Coturnix japonica: one gene and its partners. The protein of the gene in region 1 interacts with the protein of each later gene in a biochemical or structural test. Links are inferred from orthologs where the notes say so. Each region holds a gene or a part of one and is shown in the gene's direction. Other genes may lie near its edges.

Region 1 (10,313 bases):
CTTAGGGTGAAGATCTGACCAGGGGCTCAGACCTGCTGCCCCTGGACCTCCTGTCCCTAAGTCCCCAGCTCCATGCAGAGATCCTGGACTCACCTTCTCATTGGCAGTCTTGTTCAGGTAGTAATCCCGGGATGGAAGGAAAAGCCCCGACTGGTCCACCTTGGGGACAGAGGGACAGCATGGGTGTCCCATACATCCCAGAGCCCCCAGTGCCTGCTACCCCCAGCGCCCACCTGGATGACGTTGCTGTTGGAGTTCTTGGAGTCTGCACCCACATAGACAGTGAAGAACGGGGTTGCTCGGTAGGTGCCTGACACCATCTTCAGCACCTCCATGAAGCTGCTCTGGTTCCAGGTGCCGGTGACATTCCATCCACCGATCTGCCACCAAATGGAACCAGGAGGTGTTTGTCACTCAGTGCTATGGGGGAGGCTCCAGGACTGTCCCCAGAGCTGAGCCCTCACCTTGTCAATGAGTTCCATGAGAGGCTGGGAGCCCAGCTCCTCGATTCTCTGCTCCTTGAGGCAGGACAGGTAGTAGCGCTGCGTCTTCCTCTCCGCCTCACTGCTGGAGTTGAAGCTGGAGTTCTCTGCGGGATACTACAGCTCAGCCCAAACCCCTTCTGCTGGCACCCTCAGACAGCTCCCATCCCCACCGCGCTCACCCAGCAGGTGCTTCATGACAGCCTGGTTGTGCTCCCAGATGCTGTTGAAGGTGCTCCACTTGGAGCGCCCGTTGGGCAGTGGGTTCCTCTTGATCCAGCCCCCACACGAGTACTGGTAGAAGTCCTGGCAGGGGTCAGTGTCCGTGTCCAGGGCTTCCAGGATCTTGCTGGCCACCCGGACACAGGCGTCCGTCAGGCACATGGTATGGGAGGGATCTGCAGGGAAAGGGATGCGGGGAGGGGTGGGGGGGGAGTGGAACTGAGGCACAGAGTGGGGCTGCTACTGGGAGTGGGTACAGCACCCAGCAACCTGCTGTCCCCACGAAGGGCAATGGCATCTCTACCCCAGCATGGCAGTCTCCTACCTCTGCTGTACTGAACGGCCAGAGCCACGATGGTGATGCCGAGCAGAAGGGCCAGCGTGACAGCGACAGTGCAGAGCACCAGCTCCAGCTGGGAGCGCGAGGCCAGGCGGCTCAGCAGTGGCCCCGTCCCCTTCCGAAACCCCACCTGGGCAGGAGGCAGGGGCTGACATCACATCCCCTCCCCAAACTGCTCCCAGGTGCCCTGGCTTGGCTGTGGGGCATGGGGACTAGATGGGGACTAAGCTTGGAAATGGCCACTCTGAAGCCAGTGCATCCCTTGTGGACGAGCCATTTGTGGATGCTGGTGCACCCCCTGTCGAGCTGCAGGGAAGGGGATCACTCTTTGCTGCATTTTGGCTGCCTCCCAGCACATCATCTAATGACAGCCAAGGCTGGCCGGGCTCCCGGCCCCACTCATGCTGCGGGCTGGGGCTGCAGGAAAGGGGTCCTAAGCAAAGCAGGGGAGCTGTGCCGTAGCTCACCTCCACGCTGTCGGGGGAAGCGCTGCCATCCCCTGCCGGCTCCGGCCCCTCGTCCTCCTGCAGCGTGGCATGCTTGTAGTCAGGCATCTGAGGGGGGAAAGCAGGCTGGGGGGGGCTGCACCCCACTGCCCCCTCTGCCTCCTACAGCAGGTGCCTGGGGGGGACAGGGCCTCCTCCAGAAGCCAGCCCCATCCCCGGTTTGCCCTGGGGAGGGCAATGCAGGATGCTGGTGGGAGCCCTTGGGGCCCGAGCATCCCTGCGTGTCACCATGGCAATGGCAGCATCACCCCGCTGACAGGTGCCACATCGCCACGGAGATTCACTCCCCATCTCCTGGCAACCGTTGCTTAGTGCTGCTGCCTCGCCCCTCCCCCCCACCTGGAACTTTCCATGCAGATGTGCACTGGTCTGAAACATCTGGAAGCCCTCTCCCCTTCCTCCCACCCATGCAAGACAGGGTGCAGGGATCCAGGGGGACAAGGGAACCATGGGGGGGGGGCATCGGCTGGTTGCAAAGGACCAGTGATGCTGGTGAGATAGAGACCCTTTTGCACCAGAGCCGGGGGGGCAGCCCCATTGCTTGCACCCTCCCTGCCATGGAGGCTGCAAACAGCTCAGCGAGGAAGGAGGGATGGGGGGATTGAACTGCAGAAAGGAGCAGGGTGCTTCGGTATAGAGTTTCTGGGTATGCACTGTCCTCAGGCTTCAGAGTTAACGCCTGGGTGGGCTGTGGCTCAGCCTCCATCTGCGCATCTCTGCAGTGCTCAGGGGTATGGAGTTGCTGGGGTGTGTGTGGGGGGGAAGGATAAGCGCTCTGCTCCCAGCTCCCCTGCCCATCACTGGGACGCAGGGAGGTTGCAAAGCCGGGGGGGGGTTCCATCACTGTGGGATGGTGGTGTTGGACAGCCTGGTATTCGGGACTGGGGCAGGCTGGGTGCTCCAGTCTGCCGCGGTGCCCCATGTCGCCTCCAGCCGCATCCCTCCTGGCACCCTGAGGTTAAGGCAGGATCCAGCCCATGGGCTCTTCCTGCGCCATCCGTGGGGGAAATGGGCCCCCCAGCCCCGGGACTTGCAGTGGGGCAGCATCCACAAGCTCCAGGTGTGCCCCCTGCTTTGGCACTGCGAGGGGCCGTGGGTTCATCCCGATTTCTCCCATTTCTGCCCCATTTCTCCCAGCGGGGAGGTCCCTTTGCCCCTCTTCCCCTGCTGCCATGCGGAGCCCCCCAGGCCCCCTCAAACCACGGGCTCTCAATCCCTTTTTTCCCCCCGGCTCCTTCTCCCCGCAGCCCCCCGCATCCCTTCCCATCTCCCGCAGCTCTCCAGCCCCAACACTCGGGCTGTCCCCGCGCCCCCCCCTCCTGTCCCCTGCGTCCCTCCCTGCCGACACTCACGGCGTGTCCGAGCTCCTGCAGGGCCACGTTCATCCTGGCCATCCCGCCTAGCTCCGCTCCCCGCCCGGCCCGCTCCGGGCCCCCGCCGCCGCCGCAGCGCCGCCTGCCTCCGCCATGGCCCGGCACCGGCACCGGGAATAGGTCCGGGAGCTGGAGCGGCGCCGGGCAGGGACGGATGGAGCCGCCGCAGTGGGAAGGGACCGGGGGGCTGGGGACCAGCGGGGTGAGGCACCGGCACCGGGGAGCGGGGACGGTTAAAGACCGGCGACCTCAGGGGAGGATGCAGCGGGGGGCACCGCTCCGCCCGGCCCCGCCGCCGAGGTGACCGCGAGGGGCAGCGCCCTCCGCAAGAACGGGCGGAGCCGCAGCACCGGCACCGGCACCGCAACCGGGTGCGGTCACAGCGATGCGCAGCGGGACGGAACCGGGAGCGGAACCGGGGACACGGAGCCCACGCGGTGCCACGCACAGTCACGCACAGACACAGAGTCACGCACACACAGTGTCACGCACAGACACAGCCGCCCACGGCAGCGCTGCCACCCCCGGGGACCAGCGGGCGGGTGCTGTAAGGCGGGCACGGCGCTACGAGACCGGCTGTGCCACGCGTGTCACACTTCCACGCGTGTCACTGCTTTGCGGGTAATTATCCCCCTCCGGGCTCCCCGTCCCCACGTCCCACGTCCCCATCCCGTCCTGACCCCGACACTCCGCTCCCCACGCCCGTGGGTGTCACCGCCCGGCGCCAGGACACGCGGGGAGGGTCCACGAAGCCACGCCCACATCCCGCTAAGCCCCGCCCACAATCAGCTAAGCCACGCCCACATCTCATAAGCCCCGCCCACTCCGACCAGCGGCAACTCCCATCGGGCGCACGGTGATGACGTCACGTAGACTACGGGCCGTGCGCAGGCGCAGAGCGTGGCCGGTGTGCGGCGGAGCGGCCATGGACGCGGGAGGCGGCGGCGGGCAGAGCCGGGTGCAGGGCGGGCCGGGCTCGGGAGGAGACGAGAAAACCCCTCAGCTGTGGGGACGGGACCGACGGGATCCGCCCGCGGGGCCCGAGAAGGAGCAGGAGCTGGTGAGAGTCGGCCGGGGAGCTGAGTCACGGGGCGGGATGGCGTCATCGGGGCTCCCTAGGCCGCGTGACGTCATACGGTGACGTAGTACGGGGGGCTCCGGGGTGGCTGTGTGTTACTAACAGGGACAGCGCTGTCCCCGCGGGTCGCCCCTAACCGTGTGTTCCATCCCGGCAGTCGGAGGAGGACAAACAGCTGCAGGATGAGCTGGAGATGCTGGTGGAGCGTCTGGGGGTGAGTGCGGGCCCCGCAGCCTAGAGAACTGGGGGGGAAATGCCCCGTGTCACAGCCCTGTGGGTGCTCAGAGCTGTGCCCCGTGGGTGCCTGTCTGCTCGCTGTGCCACAGCCCCATAGGGCTGACTTTAGGGTGTGGGGGGCTCTGAGCCCAGAGTCAGCACCTCACACACCTCCTGATGGGCCTCTTCCATGTGCAGGAGAAGGACACGTCTCTCTACCGCCCGGCGCTGGAGGAGCTGCGCAGGCAGATCCGTTCCTCCACCACCTCCATGACCTCTGTCCCCAAACCACTCAAGTTCCTCCGACCACACTATGGCAAGCTGAAGGAGATCTATGAGAACATGGCTGCTGGGGAGAACAAGGTGAGTGCTGCCATCCTGTGTGGGCTGTGACTTGCCACGTCCTTGCTTTGCCCCCTGTGGACACAGTGGGGCACTCAGTCCCATGTGGGTCTTCTGGGGTGCAATCAATCCCATGTGAGTCTGAAGCTCCAGCTCTCTGTCCCCAGCGCTTTGCAGCAGACATAATTTCTGTCCTGGCTATGACCATGAGTGGGGAGCGTGAGTGTCTGAAGTACCGCCTGGTGGGCTCTCAGGAGGAGCTGGCATCGTGGGGGCATGAATATGTCAGGTGAGACTGGCTGGGAACAGGGCTTGGGGTGGATAAGAACAGCTGCCTCACATCCGCGGGGCTGGGTGAGGCTGGTTTCTGTGGTCACGATGTCCCCTTCTCCCTGCAGGCACTTGGCAGGGGAAGTGGCCAAGGAATGGCAGGAGATTGATGAAGCTGACAAGGCACAGAGGGACACACTCCTCACCCTGGTTAAGGAGATTGTCCCTTACAACATGGCTCACAATGCAGAGCACGAGGCTTGTGACCTTCTCATGGAGATCGAGCAGATGGACATGCTGGAGAAATACATTGATGACAACGCCTACTCCAAAGTGTGCCTCTACCTGACCAGGTGAGGGACTGGTGCATCTGTCTGGCCCTTGGTGGGCTAAGGCTGCCCAGTTTCATTGGCTGACACTCATCCTCATATGCATCTCCTCCTCAAAGCTGCGTAAGCTATGTCCCAGAACCTGAGAACTCTGCTCTCCTACGCTGTGCTCTGGGCATTTTCCGCAAGTTCAACCGTTACCCTGAAGCCCTGCGCCTGGCTCTGATGCTCAATGATGTGGAGCTGGTGGAGGACATCTTCACCTCCTGCAAAGATGTGTAAGTAGAGACAGTCCCTGGGCTCGGGGGGGCGAGTACAGCTGAGTAGGATCCTGACATTGTCAGATGTGGCTGGGGGCTTGGCCAGATACTGGTGTCCCCAAAATAAAGATGAGCAGGAGCCAGTCATCTCTGGGCTGTTCTTGTATGCTGCTTGAGCAGGGTGGGCTGAGGTATGTGACTGCTGTTTGGCTATGGGGGCTGGATGCTTTCAAAGCCTCTTCCCTCTGCAGAGTTGTCCAGAAGCAGATGGCCTTTATGCTGGGCCGCCATGGGGTCTTCCTGGAGCTGAATGAGGACGTGGAGGAGTACGAGGACCTGACTGAGATCATGTCCAACGTCCAGCTCAACAGCAATTTCTTGGCCTTGGCTAGAGAGGTGAGCACTGTGCTGGAGAAAGATCTCTGGGCTGCTCCAGGCTGGGATCTGCCCTGGCCACCAGGCTTTGTGCTCTGTGGCAAGACCTGGGGAGAGCTCTCTTATCCCTATGAGCCTGGCCAGGTCCTGCTGGCAAGGCTGTCTTTGTAGAACAGCTGCTGTGGTGCGTCTGTGGGGAAATAACCCTCTTTTCCCTTGTCTCTGCAGCTGGACATCATGGAGCCCAAAGTACCAGATGATATTTACAAAACCCACTTGGAAAATAACCGTAAGAGCTCATGTTTTGACCTTGTCTGTCTCTGGATAGAGCAGACCCCATTGCTTCTGGTGGGCTTTGTCTGCTCCTTCCCTGTGGCTGGGGATGGGGCCTCACCCACTGTCTGGCGTGGGACAACTGTGCAGTGGAGTGTTGGCCTGCCTCACTCTGATCTTGTTCCCCAGGGTTTGGGGGCAGTGGTTCCCAAGTGGACTCAGCCCGGATGAATTTGGCATCCTCCTTCGTGAACGGCTTTGTAAATGCTGCATTCGGCCAAGACAAGCTGCTGACAGATGATGGCAATAAATGGTTGTACAAGAACAAAGACCACGGTGAGGGTTGGAGGTGGCTGTGGGCTTGGGGTTGTGACCCTTTGTGGGCCCTGCTGAAAGTGTGGCAGTTGGGTACAGCCCTGCTGTGTCCAGGCTGGTCACACTGACTTGGGCTTTTCTCCCTGGGAACCTGGGAACTCAACAGGAATGTTGAGTGCTGCAGCTTCATTGGGCACTATACTGCTGTGGGACGTGGATGGGGGCCTCACACAGATTGACAAGTACCTCTATTCCTCAGAGGATTACATTAAGGTGAGTGGCACTGATCTCAGCCCCATACTCACTTGGTACCAACCAGCCTGTCCTGGGGAGCAAGTGTAACCTGTGGGGTGACATGAGTCACTGGCTGGCAGGGAGCTCCATGTGGTGGTGGCTAGTGCATAATGGTGCCTCTGTTTCATAGTCGGGTGCCCTGCTGGCCTGTGGCATCGTCAACTCAGGAGTGAGGAATGAATGCGACCCTGCCCTGGCCCTGCTATCTGACTATGTCCTCCACAACAGCAACACCATGCGGATCGGAGCCATTTTTGGGTAAGGGTCTGCCCTGGCGTCCTTGGCTGTGTGGGATGGTGCAGCCATCCCTGACATTCCTCTCTGTTCTCCATAGGCTGGGGCTGGCCTACGCGGGCTCCAACCGCGAGGATGTCCTGACTTTGCTGCTGCCAGTGATGGGGGACTCTAAGTCCAGCATGGAGGTAGGGAGCAGAGCAGGGTGTGCTGCACGAGTCCCTGACAGCTCCTGGGGATGCTGGGGCTGGTTTGGGCTCTGCATGTCCTTGTGTGATGTGCTGTGCCCTAAGAACATGGCTCCCTCCCCAGGTGGCTGGTGTGACGGCCCTGGCTTGTGGCATGATATCTGTGGGCTCTTGCAATGGGGATGTCACCTCCACCATCCTCCAAACCATCATGGAGAAATCAGAGACGGAGCTGAAGGACACCTATGCCCGGTGGCTGCCGCTTGGCCTGGGCTTGAACCACTTGGGTAAGAAAGGGCAGCACTGGTGGTCCTGTGAGCTGGGACTGTGAGCATCTCTTGGGTGCCCTGAACTCTGTGCCTCTTCACAGGCAAGGGAGAAGCCATCGAGGCGATCCTGGCAGCGCTGGAGGTGGTGTCGGAGCCGTTCCGCAGCTTTGCCAACACATTGGTAGACATCTGTGCCTATGCTGGTGCGTTGAGCTGACCAAGGCTGAGGGAGGTGGGAGTGGGACCAGGCCTTCCTTCTGCTCATCCTTACCCACTGCTGACCTCACAGGTTCAGGGAATGTCCTGAAGGTACAGCAGCTTCTGCACATCTGCAGTGAGCACTTTGACTCCAAGGAGAAAGAGGAAGACAAAGACAAGAAGGACAAAAAGGAGAAAGAGAAGAAAGAAAACTCAGCTGACATGGGAGCACACCAGGTAGGAAAACCTGGGCTGGAACCTGCGGCCCAGGCCCAGTAGCTGCCCTGTCTGGAGTCAGACCCAGAGGAAGTGGCCCCAGCAGGATCCTCTGCTCTCGCTGTCCAGCTGGGCTGTAAGAGATTGCATTTGCAGTTGGTGGTCTCTGCCTGGCATTCAGTACTGGTGTCTCTGCAGGGTGTAGCAGTGTTGGGCATTGCACTTATTGCCATGGGTGAGGAGATTGGTGCAGAGATGGCCCTGCGCACGTTTGGTCACCTGGTGAGTGGCAGCTGGGGGACAATGTGGGGCTGGGAAGGGACCTGGATGAAGAGGGCAGATCTTCTCTCACATCTTGGCCTTGGTAAGCTGGGTTGTGGATGCCCCACCGTGCCCTTGCCCCTACCTGGGTTTTAATATCTTCTCTCTCTCTGTTCCATGCAGCTGCGGTATGGGGAGCCCACCCTGCGCCGTGCTGTGCCCCTGGCCCTGGCGCTAATCTCTGTTCTAACCCCCGTCTCAACATCCTGGACACCCTCAGCAAGTTCTCCCACGATGCTGACCCTGAAGTCTCCTACAACTCTATCTTTGCCATGGGCATGGTGGGCAGTGGTAAGCCTGGGTGGCAGCTTGTGTGTTATGGTGGGCAGCCATGGGACCAGGCCGGTGCCTCAATCCCTGCCTTCTCCAGGTACCAACAACGCCCGGCTGGCTGCAATGCTGCGGCAGCTCGCCCAGTACCACGCCAAGGACCCCAACAACCTCTTCATGGTGCGGTTAGCCCAGGTGATGATCCCACACTTGTGGTTGGGAAGAGATGGGGGTGGCTGTGGATGGGGGGGCCACCACGTGTTGCCCCACTTGTGCTCACGTGCTTTCTGTGCCACACCAGGGCCTGACCCACTTGGGTAAGGGGACGCTCACCCTGTGCCCCTACGCAACAGCGCATAGGGCAGCTCATGAGCCACGGTGGCTGTAGGCTGACTGTTGACCGTCCTCGTGTCCTTCCTGGATGTGCGCAACAGTGAGTAACGTGTCATAGAGTGTTTCATCCATCCCCTCCTTCCCACACTCACACTCTCCCTTTCATCCCCTTTCAGTTATCCTGGGCAAGTCCCACTATGTCCTGTACGGGCTGGTTGCGGCCATGCGAGGCCGCCGTATGTTGGTCAACTTTCGATGAGGAGCTGCGTCCTCTGCCTGTATCGGTTCGGGTTGGACAGGTGAGGAGCTGGAGCCTGATATGGGTGGCTGGGGGGGGTTATATCCCATAACTCCTCATCTCAGCATGCTTGCTCCTGCAGGCTGTGGATGTGGTGGGCCAAGCGGGCAAACCCAAAACCATCACCGGCTTCCAGACCCACACCACCCCTGTGCTGCTGGCACACGGCGAGGCGGGGCAGAGCTGGCCACCGAGGAGCACGTGCCCGTCAACCCCCATCTTGGAGGGCTTCGTTTTTTCCCCCATCCTGCGGCAAGAACCGCAATACTACGACTGTTGAGGGGGGCTGGGGGCTGAGTGGTTGGGGGGGGGGGGGAGAATGACTGGGGGTTTTTTTGGGGGGGGGGGGGTTGTTTTTATTTGTTACTGGGAGATGAGGAAATAAAGTCTGCGTGGATCGGTGCTGCTGTGCTGCCCTTCAGTTCTGAGCCTGTCCGTCGGGCAGCACCCAGCGCACCGTGCAGCTCCGAGGGTCGCGCTGTGTGTCCGTGCCCCCGCCGGTCCCTCCATTCACGTGACACGGGCGGGGGGCGGCGCTCGGTCTCGGTGCCGCCCGGTCGGTGTCCCCTCCCCCGCTGGTTGTGCCCCTCCCCCCGTGGTTGCGCTGCGCGCTGGCTCCGGAAATGGTCGTGCTGCGCTGCGCTGCGGCTGCGTCGGGCCGCGCGCGCTGAAGGAGACTGAAGGTAACGGGCGGGGGCGGGGCGGGAGCGCGCCGCGGGGGGGGGGGGGGGGGGGGGGGGGGGGGGGCACCGGCACCGGGACCGAGTGCGGCGGGGTGAACCGAACCGCGGCGTGGAACCGCCGGGCATCGCCGCGCCGCCGGGCCCCGCCGCTACCGCTACAAGCGCCGCCGCTACCACGTGGGCGCCGCCGGTCTGCACGCCGTTATCCGCGCTAAGCGCCGTCTCTCGGCCCCTCGTTCCGGTGTAGCCGGCCCGAGCGCCCGTTCCTTCCCCACGTGCCGCCGCCGTGCACGTGCTCCGCCGCCGGGCCCCGCCGCTCCGCCGCACGTGGCGCGCCCCAGCGCCCCGCCCGGGCCCGGTGTGAGGCCGCGGGGCCATGGCGGCGGGCGGCGGTGACACGTGTCCTTGGCACAGGCCGCGCCGCCGCGGGGGGGAGCGAAGCGCCGGGTGCCGCCCTGGGCCCCGCGCCGTGTCCCGCTCCGCTCCTTCCTCATCCCGGGGCCGCCAAGATGGAGCCGGCCCCTCCGGCCTAACACCCCCCCCCTACACACACACACACACACACACACACACACACACACACACACACACACACACACACATACACACCTCCCCTCCGCCCCGGGGT
Region 2 (10,229 bases), on another chromosome or scaffold:
CTGGGCCGGCGGGGGGATGGTGGTGGTCGCCGCTTCCTCTCGGTGCCGGTGTCTCTCCCCGGTCCCTCGGCAGAGCTCTGCGCCTCACAACGACGGCGGCGGTTGGGCGCCCGGCGGCGGCAGAGCGGCTCCTGCACGCACCATGGCGGCGCCGAGCCGCCTCAGGGCGCTGACGGCCCGCGGTCCCACGCACGGGCGGCCATGGCCCCGCTGCCTGCGTGCGCGCCGCCCCGCAACGCGCATGCGCCCGGCCCGCAGCTCCGCCTCACGACAGAGCGGGGTCGGTGCGTCTGTTAGGGCTCTAAATAGAGGTTGTGGGGCGGACCTTAATGGTCGGCATCACCTACATCACTGGGCAACCTGTGTCAGTGCCTCACCACCCTCACTGTTAAAGCTCTATCCAACCTAAATCTGTGAGCTTGAAACCATCTCCCCTTGTTCTATCACCACAGACCTTGCTGATAGAAGTCTGTCATACTGAAAGGCCGCTATCATCACCTCAGAGCCTGCTCTGCTCCAGCCTGAAGTGCTGCAGCTCTCAGCCCATCTTAGAAGAGCTGTTCCATCCTGTGGATCATTCTGTGCCAGCAGTGTGCCCTTGTAGCCAAAAAAGCCAACACTGGGGTGCATTAAAAAGAGCGTGTCCAGCAGGTCGAAGGAGGTGATCCTCCCCCTCTATTCTGCCCTGGTGAGGCCTCATCTGGAATATTGTGTCCAGTTCTGGGCTCCCCAGTACAAAAAAGACAGGGATCTCTTGAAAAGAGTCCAGCGGAGGGCCACAAAGATGGTGAAGGGCCTGGAGCATCTCCCCTATGAGGAGAGACTTAGGGAACTGGGTCTGTTTAGCCTTGAGAAAAGAAGGCTGAGAGGGGATTTGATCCAGGTTTATAAATACCTGAGGTGTGGGAGCCATAGTGGTGAGGCTGGTCTCTTTTCAGTAGTGCATGGGGACAGGACTAGGGGTAATGGGATGAAACATCAGCATAGGAAGTTCTGCATGAATGAGGGTGATGGAGCACTGCAACAGGCTGCCCAGGGAGGTGGTGGATTCTCCTTCTCTGGAGATATTTAAGACCCACCTGGACGCCGAGCTGTGTGACGTGGTGTAGGGAGCCTGCTTTGGCAGGGGGGTTGGACTTGATGATCTCAAGAGGTCCCTTCCATCCCCTACAATTCTGTGATTCTGTGTGTGATTCTGTGACCCTTCTCTGGATGCACTAACATCTGCTCACATAAAGGCTGCATGGCCAGGCCCCAGCACGCCCCAAAAAGTGGTAATGAAGAGCTGTAGAGCTTTTGACCTTCATACCTGAAAAGAAATCACAAAGCCGCACTGTCTCAGACATGAGAAACTTTGCTGTGGTGAGGAATGAGGGAATAAGGTGAACTGGAAAATCCTGTCATTCGCGAGGGCTGGGCGAGCCAACTCAGTAATTGCTTTTTTCCTTCCACCTCTAATGAGAACCCAAGCATTCATCAACATGTATTAAAAGAGCTCAGCCTCAACACATTTCACTCCATGAAAAATAGATACTAATATAAGGGTGTTATGTCCACATCATGCTTTGCAATATGAGCCCTCTCTGCATACAAAGGGGCCTGCTATACGCTCTGATGGGTCTATCTGGTGTTACTATTACACCTGACTTCCCTCCAGTTTGTCAGCCCAGACATCAGCAGAAAGGAGACCAAACATGCTATTACTCACTAATACTTGTTGGTACCACCACACCACATCTTATCACAAGGAGTACAAACCACCAGCTGTCATACAAGGCGTAAGAATCTCAGCTTCTATGGAGCACTTGTATTCTCCTGCTGTACATGGTGGGGGGGAAAAGAGTCACTTCTGTTCTTTGTGGTTTCGATTCAGAGCTGAATGAAGTCAGGGGCAATAGTGCAAGATCTGTCTCGTCAAGTACCACAACCTTCTGCTTTAAAACTCTCAGGACTTTTAAAGCCTTTTCCACATTTGACACTGAGTGATAACAATAATTAATTCCATGACTGTTTGTCTCTCATTATGAGCAGAAGCATTTGGATTACAAACTTGTACCAAACAGCAGCTGAGGGACTAAAGAGGACCACTTTGGTGACACCTCATTAAAGCTTTCAAAAGACATTCTCAGGGCTCAGATGATTTGGCAATTTGATTTGTCCATGTGGATGGACAACCGCCAGCACCTCAAACTGCTTACAAAGAAAAACCCTCATAAGAATTCTCTAAAGCAGCAAAATACGCTGACACGGCAGGACGCTGCACGCCTATGGGAGACAATAAAACAGGCAGTTTTATTTGAAGCTTCTTTCACAGTGAATTGTTTCATGAAATATTCATGCATATACATGTGAAAGCAGTAGGTCGCGCTGTGAGATGTAGTCACACAACGATTACATACGAAAATTAAGATTGGCTGTGAAACCTGATTTTGTGCCTTGTATGTACAACCTTAACACATCAATGGAAGCCATACATAGCAAATGTATCTGCCTGATTCAGCAGGTCTCACTCCTTAACCCCATCTCAGAACTTCTTTTCATTGTCTATAACCCTGTTTCCTAAATCTCTCCCCATCTCTCAGCTTCATATTGACTCTTATTTTTTCCTGTCATTCTCTCAGCTTTCCACAGCTTTCTAGCAATTTATCTTGTCCCAGTATCACAGTTTCATCTTTATTTCACTCTCTTCAGGAAACCACTTCTGCAGTATCTCTCATAATTACATCTCATATGATTACATACATTTTTACCACTTTAACAGCCCTGAGGAGTGCTGACTCCCAACAAATACACAGCTGCTGCGATTTACAACTTACCTAAGGGAAAGCCATACCAATGTCTGTGTTGAGAAGCTGGAGAGATGAGAGGTGATGTAAGGAAAATGATGAATCAGTTTTTGTTCGGGGAATAAAAGAATCACAGTTCTCTCCCCAGATCCCTTGCCAGTGGGGCTTGATTTAGAATACAAAGAATTTAAGTAAATAAAATAAAAATAATTAGGCTGAATAGTGGGAGAAGAATAATGGTCACATTCAGCAATCAGAGCAGCACATATTAGATGGGTACAAACCTCTAGTATTTATAACATCTCACAGTGCCAACACTATGTAAATAATTTGGAAAAAACTCATGTGAGGAAGCTGTACAAATATTGGTCCAACTTCCACCTTATTGATAATGAAGCCAAGACAGAGACTCACTGTATTAGTGATAACTTGAAAATGTGTTTCATTTCAAACCAGAGACGTTTCTATGTCTCCAGCTGAGCTGCCAGCTACTGAAGCACATTGCGTTATTGAACACTGCAAAGTTTCACTGTTTTGCCCACAGTCACACACTGATTCAGAATCAGAGCTTGCATTCATACATTGCTGTTCCTGGGGCACAGTGATGGCAGTGTCCAGTAAACCACGCTGTCTGTTGTATTACATTTAAGAGGTTAGGACAGCATTTGTGCACAAATCTGCCTTAGGCTGGAAACACTTGGACAGTGTAGACTTGAAGAGATGGACATTCTCACATGTCATTGCTGTTACTGCCTGCTTAGAACAAGTTTCTTTAGTTTCACCCTAGAGCATCCCAGGCATAGGGTATATCGGGATGCCACAGAGCGGACATTTGCTTTAAGATTTCCTCACTGCTTTTTCCTCTTCCTTGCCCTGCTAGAATTTACCACAGTGTAAACCCAAAGAGTACCACCCCAAAACAAACTTTTCTGTACAAAGATGCTGCTGTTTGGGCTCTGAGTTGCAATTATATGGTCTTAGTGAAACTCCTTTAACACTATGCACTTATTAATGTTAGGATTTAGCACCACCGTGTGTTCTTACAGCTGAGTTTAAGGACATATTTTTCTGTGCCACATGAACACCAGAATCAGAGCATTTTTCAGCAGTGTTGAGCACAAAGTAGTCCTAGTCATGGCTCAGGACACTAAAACACCATCATCATACCCAAAATGAAATATCATTTAGAAACATTGAATAGTTTTTTCAAACCAAAACCAAACAGGAAAACAATTAATGCCTCTTCTCCACAAGAGAGTTTTATCAAGGCCAATTAGGAAGTTATTAGAATGTATCAAAAAGATTGTAAGTAAAGAGCTGGTCACATTATAGTCTCATTTCTGTAGCCTGAGTTTGTTTAAAAAGGCCTCCAGGGTGCATAGTTTTATGACAGGGTGTGACTTTAATTACTACTTGTAACTTTGGAAGCTTTCCAGCACTACTGTACCATGCTGCCTCAGAGCACGATAGTTGTAGAGGGGAACTAGCATGAAAAGCCCTTCATGACTAGAATATATACACACTAACTGGTTCAACAGGGATTTGAGTGCAGTCAGAAGCTACACCTGACACGAACAGTCAGTGAAGTAACCTCCCATTTGCATCGCTTTTCTGGAAACCAGAGCACTTTTTATGCTCAAATCTGAATATAGAACAAAACTTAAAATCTGTATCCAAGCAGGAAACGCATAAAATTAATTCCCGGTCAGAAGAAAAAAAGACTGTGGAAAACCAGCCTTCTGTGCAGCTTTTTCTTATATTGCACCTTGCTCAGGTCTGCAACACAATGTGAGGGACAGTTCTTGCAGCGCTGTGCTCAGCTCTCCTTTCTTCTTCCATTTCCTATCACTGAACAAAAAAGGAGAAGGTCATTACTGAGCAAGAACTAAGACTAAAGGACCGACACATCCACTATTCCTCCCCTGCAGATTTAATTCTGACCACAGCTGCAGTCAATATCCTTCCCACCTGGTTTTACATCACACTTCAGCACTGATAGTTTTCTTTCCTTTAAACGATTTCTAAGGAGCAGAACATCTAAATGCAAAAGCTCATCTTTGCACAAACTAAGTTTTCCTTCTACACTCGTTATCAATGTCACAAAGCAACTACAGCTGAGCATCCCAGCAGCCCCCAACACGGCACCACTGATTCAAGGGATACAAAACCATACTCTGCCATGTAGCTTAGAAGCTACAAAGGACTTCAGGGCATCAATAAACCTCCTGTGAAGGTTATTAATGAAAGAGAGCAGCTGATGGCAGCGAACTGGTGGCTGTGGGCCGTGCCAGCCCACTCGCTCGGTGCCACCCGTGGATTTTACCTCAAAAATAAAATTAAATCAAATAATGAATTCCTATCAGAGCAGAGCAGGAAAATAACTCTGCAGCAGCAGTGATAACTCTGACTCTGACACATCTCAGCGTCTCCTGGCACACACAGACCACTACGGAACTACGGCTGGTACCGGCCCGGCCCGCCTGGATGCAGGGTCCCGGTTGGGCCTACACCGACAGTCCGCAGCCAACACGATCTAAAACACCCCGCTCCACCGAACCGGAACCAGCTCACATCCGCCATCCCTCCGCTTCCGGCGCGCTCCACTTCCGCTACCGGTGCGGCGGATCGCGGGTCGGTGCCGGTTCCGTTGCCAGGGTGAGGGGCCGCATCGCGCTGCCGCGGGTGGGGCTGGGGCTTCTGTATAACGGCTCTGCGGCCTCTATCGCCGTGAGGGGCCGGACCTGAAGGCTCCGTGCGCGGTAGCACCGGGCATTGCCGTGCTGGGGGTGCGAGGGGTGAGCGCGTCTCTCCTGGCCCCGCAACGTCCGCGGCACAGCGGGGCCTGCAGCCGCGAGGCCTCTGCGCTCCCCGTGTCACCGCCGGGACCGGCCTCAGCCGGGGATCCACGGCCGTTCTGAGCGCTCCGTCCCCGTTCCGTGCCGCTGCTCATCCCGCGGGTTGGGTTTGTCGTGCTCACGTTTTACGTTGCGGGGTGGAATACCCAGAAACATGGAGGTGTATCTCCCTCCCAGATCCAAGAACCACGCTTTATCTGCCCCAGTGCCCTTTTAACTTTAGGCTCTTGGTGGCCCTCGGGGCTCTGACAATGTCATCCATCTGACAATGACTAGAACAAACTTGGTTTCACTATCTTTCACTATCCCTTCTATACAACCCAGTCCATAGGAACTGAAAATCCCTGTGACTTTCTCTTTGGTCCTCATCTGTTCATTGAGTCACAGAATGGCTTGGGCTGGAAGAGACCTGAAAGATCATCTAGTTCCATCTCCCTGCCTGGAAACACTGATTCTATTGTCCACACCCAGTTCCATCAGTGTTTTGCACTGAATAAAGGTCATTCTGTTTGTTGTTTCTGATAACCTTCATCCTGAGATAACTGTACTTCTGCAAGGACTGGCAGCTGATGAGTGCTCTGCTTTATAGGGATCCTTTCAGTTTGAGGCCTGAGAAGTTTCCTTACTGCTTTTACTCAGTGCATTTGCTTGCAGAATGACTTCAGGCATGTGGTACAGTTGAGAAAGCAGGCCACAAACTCGTCTTTCTAAGCATAGAAATCTTGGTCTGAGGTTTATGGGCAGAGGTTATTTGTGATGAGCTAACACTGCTGATATGCAGCCTTAACCTCAGTTGATTCTCTTAATACTTCTAAGGCCATCTTTCACAGAATAATACTAATTCACAGGATAATACTATTCCCCGTCCAATTTGGGGATATTTGGAGATATTTTAAAATATAATAAAAATTGATTGTTCTAAAATGTATTCAGTTTGTTTTCAGGGATCTTAGAGGAGATAGTGAGGAAGAATGTTTTTTATTGTGCACAGCAGGCAGGTTGTATCTGATCCTCCATTTCTTATCTGATTTGAGCTTGGTGGGTATGTCTGAATAATTATTCAATTGTTCTTAACAAAGGATATTGTATAGGCAGGAATTACTTTGGATGAGAGCAGGTAACTGCTGAGAGCGATGCTGGAGAGGATGAGGAGTCAGACTTTTGAGTTCTGGCTTTTATTGGAATTGCCAGACCTGGATTGCCTGGTACAGTGCAATGCCTGGTACAGTTGAAGGTGGACACCCTCAGGTTTGGTTTTACTTTGTTTCTATGGCTCTTCTCCCTTTACTTTTTGGTCATCAATCTTTTAAGTGCGTTCTCACCATTAGTTGTGCAGAGGCCTTCTCTGGTTCTCTGACAGTTTGAAATGGCCTTTTCATACCCATTCCTTGATTCTCTGCTTCCAAACTTTGGCGGAAGAAAACATGTCTTTCCTTTCCCAGAAAGCTAGAAATCTTGCTTCTGTCTTTAGTGTGGGAATAAACCGTTGAATATAATTCACATAAATGATCTGGCGTAAATTAAAGGTAGTAATTACGATTATTTTGTCAGCACTGCAATGAAAGTGCAGTTCTTACAGTGTAATTGTACCGTGTAGGTGTGTATTTTGGCTTTGTTTTCAAACTGCTTTGATATTGCTACAGTGAGACGTGACCTGAGGTGTATTACTGCAGCTACTGCACAGATCTCAGTGAAAGTGAGTAGGGAAAGTGTTCGATCCACTTGAACTGTTGGTTCAGAACTGTTTTGGTTGGGTTTTTTTTGTGTATTTTAGGACTTGCTTACTTTCTGTTTAATAGCCACGTATGTTATGAGTGGTTTGATTGTGAAATTATTGCAGAGGACATTGAAATGACTTCTCTGATGCTGCAGTGCTCTGCTTGAATGCTGGCTGTGCTGCAAAAAGCTGTACCTGCACTGAACACACAGCAAGCGAGCATGTGCTACAGCAGACAGTGAGTGTGACACTGCTAAGTACATCAAAGTGGAACTCAAAGCCACAGCTGTAGTGCTGTTCTTTCTCCCTTAGTTTCACTATTGTATTAACATTTATCACCTGTGCATGCAAAACAAGCAGCTCACTGATGTACAACATCACAAAAATGTAAAAACAGACTATAATGTTTGTCTTCTGAAAAAAGAAATAACTACTCCTATTTCTTGCTTACATGATCATTGCATTTTTCTCCTCCAGCAGATTTTTCAGGAAATAACACTGAACATATGCTTCAAGGATGTCTCTCTCTCTCATAATAAAATGGGGAGGACAGGAGTATACGATAACCTCGCTATCAGAAGAGGACACTGTGTTGGATCTGAAGCAATCTCTTAAAGGCCTTACTGGAGTGTTACCAGAGCGCCAAAAATTACTTGGACTTAAGATGAAGGGTAATTATTTGTATTTATTATTTGTGAGATATTTAAGGAAGAGCATCCTCTTAGCTTAGTTAAGATGTGTGTATTAACAGAGCATCTACCTCCTAGATCTTGCTTTTGAATGAGCGCACACAGAGGGATCTGATACATCACTATGTAGTTCATTACTGATACATCTAAAGGGTCATTTTTAATGGCTGATGTGCAGCAGGTGTACCTTAAACATTTTTAATTCTTGTTAGTCAGACAAGTAGCATGTCTGTGATGGAGGATGACAATGCAGCTTGGAGTATTCTTGTGTTTTATGGGTAGCTAATTTCAGTTAAGCATGAAATATACTGACAGTTTACTAAAATCTCTCAGTTTGAAAAGAAAAATAAATGAACAAAAATGAACAATAAAAAAGCAAACAGAACTCTTATTGCTTTATAGGGAAACCTGCGGAGGATGATGTTAAGCTTGGAGCACTCAAGTTAAAACCAAATACTAAAATCATGATGATGGGCACTCGTGAAGAGAGTTTGGTAAATATTTTACTTGCTTATTAGCTTTAGAAGAGGGGGGAAAGGAAGATTGTATGTCTCCTCATTATGATTTTAAATCACTGCAAAATTAGTACTGCAGTAGATTTCTGGTATTTATGTAAACTTTTCTGTAAAACTTGAATAGCATTAAAGTCCCTTGTTTTGGGCTTAAAGTACAAACTTACAACTGTGATATCCCCACTGACTTCTGAAACCAAATCATCACTGTACTTGAGCATTTTTTTCTACTCGTGAAGTAAAATCACCTTTGTTAATTTTCATTTTTTGACTGTAATGTACAGTAACTGGGTCTGAATATGCACTGCTTTCTTTTAGTAATCCCAGTTATCTTTTATTATTATTCCACTAGGAAGATGTTCTTGGGCCGCCTCCTGATAACGATGATGTCATCAATGACTTTGATATTGAAGAGGAAGTTGTGGAAGTAGAAAACAGGTTAGGAATTCGAGCTATTAAAAACCTGTCCTGTTATGGAACGTGTTGTATGCATTTTAATTAACTGTAACTTTTTGTACTCTTATATTAGGGAAGAAAATCTACTAAAAATTTCTCGCAGAGTTAAAGAATACAAAGTGGAAATTCTGAATCCTCCCAGGGAAGGAAAGAAGCTGCTGGTGCTAGACGTTGATTATACACTATTTGGTGAGACTTTATGCAACTTGTGGGGTTGGTTTAAGAGAGCGATTTATTTGCCAGTTCCTTAGGTTCGATTTACAAATATACTTCAGTTATTTTGGCTTGTGTTGTACTACGTAACTTCTGTTTTGTAACAATTTGAGGTCCTCTGCTCATATTTTAAGAAGCATTGGCATTTGTAGATGTTGTATATTATTGATTTTGGTGCAGCAACTACTTATTTTCTCCAAGACGATGCAAAAAGTAGTTTAGGATTTTATCCAATGAACTCTTCTATTGACCAATGTGTATCTTGGACATGATGATGGCAGGATAAGACACTGTTGTAAAATAATGATCTCTGTATGTTCACAAGATCAACTGGACTAAGTTTGCAAGAATCTCTGGTCAGTATCTGGGCTGTTAGAATTAACAGATAAATTAATGGGTGTGACTCTTTAGTCTCATTAAAGATATTCAGACACACAGCTAAGCACGCAAATTCCTTTAAGGATCAACAGATAAATATCCCTTCTTCTTTGCACCTTTAAAGTAGAAATGGTGCCTTATTCTAAGTTCCTTCATAATTTCAGATTTCTCCATGTGCTTCTCAAGCAAAACATTTCAAGTCCCTGGGTGAACAGGACAGTCATACCTAACATCCGACACTCTATAATAAATTTCTGCCTTCTTGTATTCCTTTTAGACCACAGATCTTGCGCTGAAACTGGAGTAGAACTGATGAGGCCGTACCTTCATGAGTTCCTGACATCTGCATATGAGGATTATGATATTGTAATTTGGTGTAAGTTTATGTACTCAGTGCTAAGACTTCATTATAAACTATCATTTGGAGCAGACTCCAGCTGGGAGGCTTTTATATCACTTTTTATGTGAATTACAAGATGTAAAGCAGTACATGAACGATCAGCTGTGATGTATTCACCTGGAATATTGCTGTTATGAATGGATCTAATAACAGTATAAAGCTCAATATCCGTTTACTGAATGTTACTTTGTACAAACAAACAAATGCTTAAAATAAAACAGTT
Region 3 (9,569 bases), on another chromosome or scaffold:
GTTCAAGGCCAGGTTGGACGGGGCCCTGGGCAACCTGATGTAGTAAATGTGTATGTTTGGTGGCCCTGCCAGGCAGGGGGGTTGGAACTACATGATCCTTGAGGTCCCTTCCAACCCGGGTCATTCTGTGATTCTGTGACTCAAGTTCAGTAGTGTTCATCATCACAGAACTTTCATGATGTGTGGCTTCCAATTCCTTTTATAATATTGCATATATTACAAGGATTTAAAATCTGCACTTCTTCTAACAAAGGGGATGTTACATCAGCAAAAAATGCCTTGCAAACTTTCTTCCTTGTCTTTCATTTCTCCTTCTTTGTGCTCCTGTTCTGTGCCAGACTCGCAGGCCCTTTGTGGGTCCACCCACCCTTGGCTGGGTGCATGGCAGGTGAGAGCCTGAAAAAGAGGCTGGGGGCATGAGAGAGGCTGTGCTGTAGAGAAGGCAGCAATAAAAAAGCCCATGGAGCTTAAGCAGCCAGTAAGCTAGGACCCAGTGGCATATGATATTGCGCAGTATTTGTGTGTGGGTATGCTAGGGATTTTGTTTTCCTGTCTTGAAATGAATTGTTGCTTAGAAGCTTTTCAAATGTTCTGAAGTGTTTACTGAATATTTTACTTTTTTTTTTCCTTGATTAAATGTGTGCCTCCTTTTACCTTCTGGCAAATTTTAATTTATCCACGTGCTCTGTAATAAATACTAGCTTCTCAGACAGCCCTTCTTGTCTGTTTTCCCTGCTGCATTTCCCAGCTTCCTACCTCCTGTGTGTATATTTGGTTATGAGAAATTTCAATGCTCTGAGACTGTCGATGTCTAAGAGACAATGTCTAAGAATGTCTATGTTTCCGTCTTTAGCCTGATAGTGGTTGGGATACCTTGGAGAGTAGCTAGCTGAGTATAGTTCTTCAATATCAGTCAAATGATAGCTTAGTCAGTCAAGTCCAGATTTGGTTCTTTTTACTTCTAGAATATGCGATTTGTTTGTTCCCAGTCTTTTTTTTCCTGTGGAGGAAAGGAGTAGGCTACTTTTAGTATCAAGATGCTCTTTATTTTTCACTTCTATAGAAAGTTTATCAACTCAAATCATGTCTGTATTGACATTGTAAAGTCAGTCCTGTATGTAGCTGATTCGTGGGCATTCTTATTTTTCCATGAGTATAACTACTGTTGCTACTGGTATCAATTTTAAGGCATTAGAATCTACTTGCGGTGAAAAAAATTCTTTCTTTATTAGTGTCAGATGAATCACAGAAGTGACCTCTCTATGAGTTAATGTGATTCATTACATTAAATTCTAAACATTCTCAGAAAAATAACAAGTTGTATTTATTTAATGCTTGTTTAATTTTGTGGTATACTGCAAATTTGGGTCTGTATCACATGGTTGTTGCTGAGTTAATGGAAGTGTATTAGATGCAAGGATTTATGTGCTTCTTCTAAAACTTTGGAGCTTTTACAAGATATGATTGGAATAAAAACCCCATCTTGAAAAAGCACACCTGAATTGTTTATGTTTGAGGAATGCTTGACAGTAAAGTTCTGTACGAAGCATTGTGTTTTGTAAATATGCTGTACTGGCAGACATGATTTATTTGAACTTCCTCTTACAGGCTTCTTTACAGTTTAGCCTTTAATGCCAGATTCCTGAGGCATCTTTGGTATTTGATATCTTCAATGACTACACGAATGATTACAGGGTATGTATTACTCTATCTCTGAATCTGAGTTTTGTTTTTTTTTTTTAAGAATACTATATATATATATATATATATATACACACATATACATATATATATATATATATATATATATGCTATTTAATATTTTTACTGGAATGCTTAAGTTAATGTATTTTTTCATGTGTTTAATTAACAATGTCTTAATTTTGAATATTGTGTTTTCAGGTCTATGGTGCCACTTCTTCAAGTAATTTCAAGAGGTTCTCCAATGTCTTTAGAAGACTCTAGTCGAATTATCCCTCTCTTCTACCTATTTAGTTCTTTGTTTAGTCATTCGCTTATTTCTATTCACGATAATGAATTCTTCGGCGATCCTATAGAAGGTGAGAGTTTGAAGCATACTTGATAACAGTGCTTTACAAAACAGGTTTGTGTAAGGCTACTTAAAATGTTGAACTGTCAGACTTTGAGGACTAAATCCATGCAATTCAGTTGCTTCTGGGCAATCCTTTGTTAAGAAACAGGAATATTAACCACCTTCTACTTTTCTTAAAAGAATGGAAATTCACTACATGCTTCTAATATGACAATTCTAGAACAAATGTCCTGCTGCCATATCAATTGGCTGAGAACTGCTCAGCGTCTGCAATTTACAGCTTGAGGATTCCCTGGGCAATGATTTGCTGACATCTGTGGGGAAGGTTTTGCTGGGTTGAATTGCTGCTGGTCCCTTGAGCAATCAGCTGTCATGTGGTTCTTTCATGATGATTGCATTTGGGGGGGGTGAAAAAAAAGATGGTCTGCACCATGGGAACCATAGTTTTACAGGGTCTATTATGCAAGTTTTTAATCATGGTAATTTGCAGTGAACTGGTGAAGAGAATGAAGATCTGGACTGAATCTATTGACTAATTCAAACTTTTAACATAGTTGCTGGAGAAAATAAGATAATACTGTAATTGTGTCTGTAAACAATTATGAGGTCATTGCTTTTTATAAAGATATTCTCTTTTTGCGTGATGTTTTTGATTGATAGCAGATTGTGTGTGAATACTAAGGTTCCAATGAAATCAGTGCTTTTTTAATAGCAAAAAAGAAAACATTGAAAGAAACTTCAACTTCTGTTTTTTTTAGTTGTAGGTCAAAGACAATCATCAATGATGCCTTTTACACTAGAAGAGCTTGTAATATTATCACGCTGCCTTCGAGATGCGTGCTTAGGAATCATAAAGTTGGCTTATCCAGAAACAAAACCAGAGGTTCGCGAGGAATATATTGCAGCATTTAGAAGTGTTGGAGTAGCAAAAAATACAGAGATGCAGCAGTGTATACAGACTGAACAAAAAAGGTGGATTCAGTTATTCAAGGTAAGTCATGTCAGTTTTCTGAGTAGCTTAAAATAACATTTTCAGACTTAGGCTGAATAAATGAGACTGGATGCGTTTTATTTTTGCTAGGTTTTTTTTTTTTTTTAGCACTTTTCAGGAATATGGACTCAAAAAGATTGATTTTTGGACTAGATGCTGAACTTTAAGTAATAAAATTCCGATAACTGTATTTTTCACAAGTCTTTGTTTAACTTTCAAAGAAAACATAGGTACTGCATAGAATAGACATTTTGACTTGAAATCCTGCTCAGCAGGATGCTTAGTATGTGATTACAGCATGACGTGGGCATGCAGTTCTAATGGGATCATGTGGTGACTTGGGTACTTCAGTATTGGAGGCTTCATTAAATTGCTACTAGGCTTCACCACTGGTTTGTTGGTGTTTTACCAGGACGTGATGTTGGTACTCCTTTTGGGCTTGCTGAAATACTACTGAGATGGTGAATTTGGCTTAACAAATCTAAACTTAATGTACATCATTTCTGGCTATCTACCAATATATTTCTGTTAGTTTTATCCATGGCATTCTAAGACATAAAAGAAGCTGAAAATGTTGGCAGGGAAAAAACCTAATTTAACTGTTGCTGAAAAATGGAGTGCTTGACTTGTCACGAAAATTCTGCAGCAAACATATCTAGTCAGCTAAAATTGCTCATTAAAGAAGTGGGAGCAGAAGAAATGCATTTTCCAAATTGAATGGTAGATTTACAGTCCGTTTAATACTGGTGACCTCTCGCACACTAATGTTCAGTTCGAGTCATCAGCTGTCCCTTCAGGTCTTTTATCACTGCTTTTGTCAAGCTATCTATTTAATTGAAAGAAGTTAATTGAATGAAAATGATCAACTAAGCTTGTATTAATATTGCTAATGGAACTTTCTTCTTGGCCATGTTTGGAGAAAGATGTCATGCTAGACTTTAGGAAAGGCCCATTAAGACTTGCACTTAACCTGATGGGCTAATTAAGGAATGCTTATTCATTCTACAAGTCTAAGATAGCCTCTATCCAGCCTATTCTGTCTGATTTTACAACACATTTCACTTATGAGCATAAGCATTAATAGCAGTGAGAGTAACTGATAATGTTTTGATTGCATTGAATACAGTCCTAATGCACCGCTGAATCTGTAATTTGCACTGATTGATCTAATATATGTTTGCACGATTTAATTTAATTACTTGTCTTTAAATTGCCAAATAAACTTTCAATTTAAAGGTCACAAGTGAAAACCCCAGTATGTCTATTTCTCTAACAAGAGCAGCGTATTAGGAGCGTTTCTCTGTTAGCAGTTTATTATGTGTCATCTTCTGTTTGTTCTTCTTCCTTTGTCTTATTTACTCGTTTGTTAGCATCTTAAATTTCCAGTGAATTTGATCATACTGTGCTTCCATGCTGCAAGTTGTTAAATTCCAAGTTACTCTTCCTCACTTTTGCAGGCAGGATTCAACTTGTATCAACTTGGTCTGCTGCTTATACTTCCAGGAGCCAGAGTTGTCTTCCGTTAATTGATACATCTGTGTAAATCTTAGGGGCATCTTGAAAACTGGTTTTACCCATAATATAGCAAGTAACAAAGCTTAGCTTGCATATTCCTCCAGAAATGTATTGCATATAAAAGCTCAATACAACTAAGTTTGCTCCATTGAGAAGCACAAAATCTTTCCTGAGGGCAGTTTCCAAGTAGGTTCTCATTGGTAAGCAGGCAGCAGTATCTTCTTCCAAGAAAAACCATCTTAAAACAAAGCTGAAGCAGTTTATAAATTTAAGGTGTTGAAGTAGAAATTACTTTTATTTATGCTGTGTCATATATGAGAGACTTGTCCATTCTGAAGCTTTTGCAAGGTGTCTACAGACAAAGGCATATTGCTTCCCTATTATCCATTGCTTCCCTAGCATTCCTTTTAATTTCTCACACAAGTTTTCCATGTCACTGATTGATGTCTGATATGGAGTGCATACCAGCAGCAAGGCAGTGGTAAACCTGAAAACAGTGACTGCTGACAGTACTTTTTGGCTGGCAAATTGCAAGTTCTTGGAAGGGTAGGATTTACGTATGAAAATGTCTTTATTAATTAGTACCACCTTTTTTTTTTTGGCTTGGTGTAATCTGCCTTGTAGTCAGCTGCTACAAATTCTGCAGAAGAACTTAATTTCAAAGAATTAATTCAAAGCAGTCTGTGTTATTCCTTAATGAAACTTGTTTTCATGTACTCAGAACTTAAGGAACTCCAGTCTCAGCTAGTCTGATTCAGCTTCCTTTAGGGTCTTTTTATAACAGCTTTTAAAAGCACTTTATTAGCATGGTCTTCACATGGAAAAAAAATTTCTGCCTTTTTTTTTCCCTTGAGTATAGTGGTAATGGGACCACAGAGCTTCAGTGACTCATCTCACCTGCATTGAATTTTATAAGGGCAAGGTGATGAAAATTCCTGTGTAATCAGACAGTTCCCTTAATAGCATTCTTTTGTTCTTTTATTCAACAGGAGCTGGATCTTAAAAGGTCTTTTGTATAGCATCTAGACACAGATTCCTTTAGAAGGCCCATTAAACTCGGTGTCACTCTTTGACACCTGCCTATTAACGCTGTCTTTTAGGAAGATTACTTCAGGAAAGCTGTGTGTTTTTCTTCCTTTCTCAAATGCTCTAGTTCTAAGTTTCAAAACAGGTGCATGTTTATCACAGCAGCGGTAACTTCTTTGAGGCTACTAAGTTAAAATCGTATTGATTCCACTTAATTTTATGTAACATTGGTTGAAGTTGATTCTGTCTTGCACATACCTTGTACCTACTTTAGGGAGAAGACATACATGAAAGTATGCCAGTGCTTTTGATGGAGTAGGTGTTACCTTGATGCTTTTCCTTCTGTTCTGGACTGGAGGAAACTGACAAGAAAAATAGAATTGCAGACTCACTCCTATGATCGTGACAGACATTTTTCCCACAATTTTCTGTTGTTTTCTCATTTTCGGGCTGTGTAGTTATGACAAATTTACCTTTCATCGTTTGAGCTCCTTGTGAATTAGAAAGCGAACTGAACATAATGGTTTAAACTAATGCGTCATGCCTTGTGGTTGAGTGGCACAGGGTTGTAACAACATCATGCACTGTAGTTCAGCTGATAAGCAGAAATCTGTTAGGCCACTTTACCACATGGCTTCCAGGAAAACGCTTATACGTTTTGCTGGGCTTACTGACTTAACACATTGAAGGGCTTTTACTTAACATGTCTTAGTATGTAAATAACATTATAATATACTACATACATATATATCAAATAGAAATTGCAACCCACCATGCTGTGCATGTATTTTCAAGACTGTAGGTCCTCCTTAGGCTTCTTGTCCTGACCACTAGAATAATATTGGCAATGATTCCTTTTTTGCAAAGCTGTCCATTTGTAGTCTGCTGTAGGCTGGGCCCTTCTCAGGAACACGTTTGCTTTATGAATCTGTTAAATTGAGTCTATTAAGAATCTTAGAGTTTAGCTAAAAATAGATAGAAATAACTGAGCTAGTCATACTAGGAGCTGTTCTAACAGGGTCTTTGAGGGTATGGTTTATTTGGTAAGTGATAGATACTTTAAGATAACTTTTTTTTTTTTTTTCCTACCTAGCTCTGACGACAATAAAAGGAGCCCACAGTCTCTTTGAGATGTAGAGCTTTTAAAAATACCAGCATTTGTTTTTCCATATGGATAATCACTTCAGTGAGGTGATATAATTGGCAGATGCTTATGACTTCTCTGAGGCACCTTTAGCAGAAAAGGAGTTAGTGCAGCAACTAGAACTAGTTACATCTTTCATTTACTTTTGGTGCCTGTTTAGTGCTTTTGCCTTCTCCTTCTGTACTTTTTTGAAACTGATGTTGGCTTCTGTAGAGTTTGACCATTAAGGAGCATATCATGTGATCTTCTGCTAGCTTGTTAAATAAGTTCATCAATTGTAGGCAGACATACCCGCTGTAATTGATTGATACCTAAGAATTATGTAGTGTGGTATAGTATGTGACCTGTGTTATCTTAAGATGGAAAGCAAAAGTTCCAATCTTCTGTAGATCATTTTCATTGAAAAATGATGCATGGAAGTTTGAGAGACTTCTTTCCTGTTGACAGAGAGAGAATTTAGCCATCTGCCAGGTTGTTCAAAATCTTGGATTTGGGCTGCCGTATAATAAAGAGCTGGCATATATCTGTCTCTTCTTAAACATGCATCTATTTGTATGCTTAAGTTTTTAAAAGCCTATATAAGTAAGTGGGGGAAAAAATGTATAAAACAGAGTTAAATGACTCAGTTAAGTATTATTTCTGTTAAGAAGTAATTCAGTGTTAGTAATGATTTGATTATGCTTTGCTGAACCAGCATTTCACTTCATAGGTGTGAAATCCTAGGGATTACTAAGTCCTAGCTCTTAAAATTTGAAATGAGTCTTTAATAAGCTAGGTTTTTTGGATTACATACTAGTGAACCACAGTTACTCATGTGCTAAGTTAAAGTGTAAAAGCAGGGTTTAGTAATGCATGAAATCAGTACTTACTCTAACTTACTTTTTTTCCCTCAAGTTTTAGCTTGTAATTTCTAGAATTTCATTCACAGTACTAAGCATATATTGAATGTATGTATTTCTGACACCTAGGTCATCACAAACTTGGTGAAAATGCTGAAAGCAAGAGATACAAGGAGAAATTTCTGTCCACCAAATCACTGGCTCTCAGAGCAAGAAAACATTAAAGCAGATAAGGTAAGTGTAATTATATTCCTTCTCACAGAGCATTACTGATGATGAAGCTTAATTTTTTATTCCTAACAGTACCAGCAATGTTGATATTTTGCAGTTTTAACGTTGGTTAAAATGTGTAGTAACACTGCTTATCTCTGTAGTATAGAAGTCTTGCATCTGTTAAGAAGCCTCTATGTTAAATTGCTTTACCAGGCCACAGTGTAGGACCCACACTACAGTGCAGTATTTCAATTAAGCTCTATATACAACCACAGAGAATTGGAAATTGTGTAGCTTTTTTGCAGTTAATTTTCATATTATTTTAAGCTTTTCTCAGAATAAAAATAGGGCAGTTGTTCTCTCATGGAATCATACCTCAAAATTTACTTCCAAAATACAGTAAAATTCAGTCGAGTTTTCTGTGCTTATCTCACATAGCGATCACTTCTTTCCTAAAAGCCCTTGAACAAAATGGCATTGCTTGAACTTGTGTATGTATGCATGCATATGAAAACGCTGTTATAAATGCACATGTGCCTCCTCTGAATCATTGAGGTTGGATCTTAAGCCAATCATATCTGAGGCAAACTACCATGCAGTGTTAGATGTTCCAATAGTTGGATGTGCTGCATGGCAATGAAAAGCTATAGACTGTTCCATTTATTTTTGATTATTGCTTGCTTGCTTACCTTGTGTTCAAGATTTCTGTGTGACAGTTCTTCAGAGTTGGTGGGAAATAATGCCCACCCACCTTAAAGTAGTAGTCTTAAGCAGTAGTGTTATTTTGATTCTCAATTCAAAGTAAGAGAATTTATTTTACATCTCAGAATTCAAACCCTACTTTTGTAGGATCTTAAATATCTAAATTTAATGTGTTCATCTACTAGGTTACACAGCTCTATGTGCCATCTGCCAGGCATGTATGGAGAGTCAGAAGAATGGGAAGAATAGGACCATTACAGTCTACTTTGGATGGTAAGATACAACCTTTGGCTTTACTGAGGCAAAACACAGTTGCCTAATGCGTAGAAAACCTACCTTTTACAGAGTTGAGCTGAACATCTTGTATAAAGTTTTAATAATAACAGAAGGCAAAGCAGTCATTTATGGTCCTATTTGAGTGTGTTTGTTTATCTTTGGAATATTGTGTAACAGCTTCTCCAAGCTTCTGCTGGTTTTGCTGGCATTGATGAGGTGTAACAGTAACAAGTGATAAGTGTTAAACAGTGTGAGTATGTATGAAAGGCAGTTGCTGAAGACAGAAAATGCATATATTTGTGTAATATACAATATAATAATGTTTTATTTTACTGTATACATATTTTTGGTATCATGATAAGTATTAATTACAGTTAGTAAATATCGTCTCTGATTGGACTTCTTTCTTTGAATCACTCAAAATAAGTAAACTTTTAGGTGGAACTATTAAAGAAGCATGTGAGAATTGGGCTAACTTAGATATCAAGGAAAACTTACACTAGTTTAATTGAACTAATGCACTTTTCTATTTTGACAGTCTGCTTCTGCTTTTCAGACTCCTATAATGTCACTATTTTAGAATTCTACCTTGCTATGTTCTAGTTAAGTCATAAATACTTGGGAAGATTTTAATATTAGATTAAAAATGGGACCTTTAAGCAGCAAAATAATTTGTCTGTGAGTCCATTCTCTCTTTGAAGATGATTTCACTTCCCAGTGTCATAGCCAGCAGATCGTTTACAGAAGACCATAGCCTTTGCATGCTACCATAGAGTTCTGCAGAACTAAGAGATTTGTCCAAGTTTGAAG

The links.
Region 2: the proteins of PSMD2 (region 1) and UBLCP1 form a complex in vitro, tested with the Homo sapiens proteins (3 studies listed by BioGRID). The link is inferred for Coturnix japonica from reciprocal best matches to the Homo sapiens genes PSMD2 and UBLCP1.
Region 3: the proteins of PSMD2 (region 1) and UBE3C form a complex in vitro, tested with the Homo sapiens proteins (2 studies listed by BioGRID). The link is inferred for Coturnix japonica from reciprocal best matches to the Homo sapiens genes PSMD2 and UBE3C.

The regions. Positions count from the first base shown.
Region 1 is NC_029524.1:13,902,039-13,912,351, forward strand, and holds PSMD2 (26S proteasome non-ATPase regulatory subunit 2), read left to right. Parts: upstream 1-3,801; 5' UTR 3,802-3,848; coding exon 3,849-3,983; intron 3,984-4,158; coding exon 4,159-4,215; intron 4,216-4,415; coding exon 4,416-4,580; intron 4,581-4,726; coding exon 4,727-4,848; intron 4,849-4,957; coding exon 4,958-5,182; intron 5,183-5,277; coding exon 5,278-5,436; intron 5,437-5,669; coding exon 5,670-5,814; intron 5,815-6,021; coding exon 6,022-6,082; intron 6,083-6,255; coding exon 6,256-6,402; intron 6,403-6,547; coding exon 6,548-6,654; intron 6,655-6,805; coding exon 6,806-6,933; intron 6,934-7,009; coding exon 7,010-7,097; intron 7,098-7,221; coding exon 7,222-7,384; intron 7,385-7,467; coding exon 7,468-7,569; intron 7,570-7,655; coding exon 7,656-7,801; intron 7,802-7,978; coding exon 7,979-8,062; intron 8,063-8,224; coding exon 8,225-8,392; intron 8,393-8,471; coding exon 8,472-8,561; 3' UTR 8,562-8,566; intron 8,567-8,672; 3' UTR 8,673-8,804; and 5 more. Other genes in the region: ECE2 (endothelin-converting enzyme 2), read right to left, coding at 94-159, 234-380, 465-589, 665-880, 1,030-1,174, 1,512-1,598, 2,903-2,944. UniProt on the Homo sapiens protein: Component of the 26S proteasome, a multiprotein complex involved in the ATP-dependent degradation of ubiquitinated proteins.
Region 2 is NC_029528.1:12,394,176-12,404,404, reverse strand, and holds the start of UBLCP1 (ubiquitin-like domain-containing CTD phosphatase 1), read left to right. Parts: upstream 1-5,367; 5' UTR 5,368-5,441; exon of another isoform or gene 5,442-5,634; intron 5,635-7,835; exon of another isoform or gene 7,836-7,838; 5' UTR 7,839-7,875; coding exon 7,876-8,029; intron 8,030-8,449; coding exon 8,450-8,541; intron 8,542-8,911; coding exon 8,912-8,997; intron 8,998-9,088; coding exon 9,089-9,204; intron 9,205-9,883; coding exon 9,884-9,982; intron 9,983-10,229. UniProt on the Homo sapiens protein: Dephosphorylates 26S nuclear proteasomes, thereby decreasing their proteolytic activity. Recruited to the 19S regulatory particle of the 26S proteasome through its interaction with 19S component PSMD2/RPN1.
Region 3 is NC_029517.1:7,678,842-7,688,410, forward strand, and holds part of UBE3C (ubiquitin-protein ligase E3C), read left to right. Parts: intron 1-1,608; coding exon 1,609-1,695; intron 1,696-1,902; coding exon 1,903-2,060; intron 2,061-2,811; coding exon 2,812-3,044; intron 3,045-7,697; coding exon 7,698-7,802; intron 7,803-8,668; coding exon 8,669-8,756; intron 8,757-9,569. UniProt on the Homo sapiens protein: E3 ubiquitin-protein ligase that specifically catalyzes 'Lys-29'- and 'Lys-48'-linked polyubiquitin chains.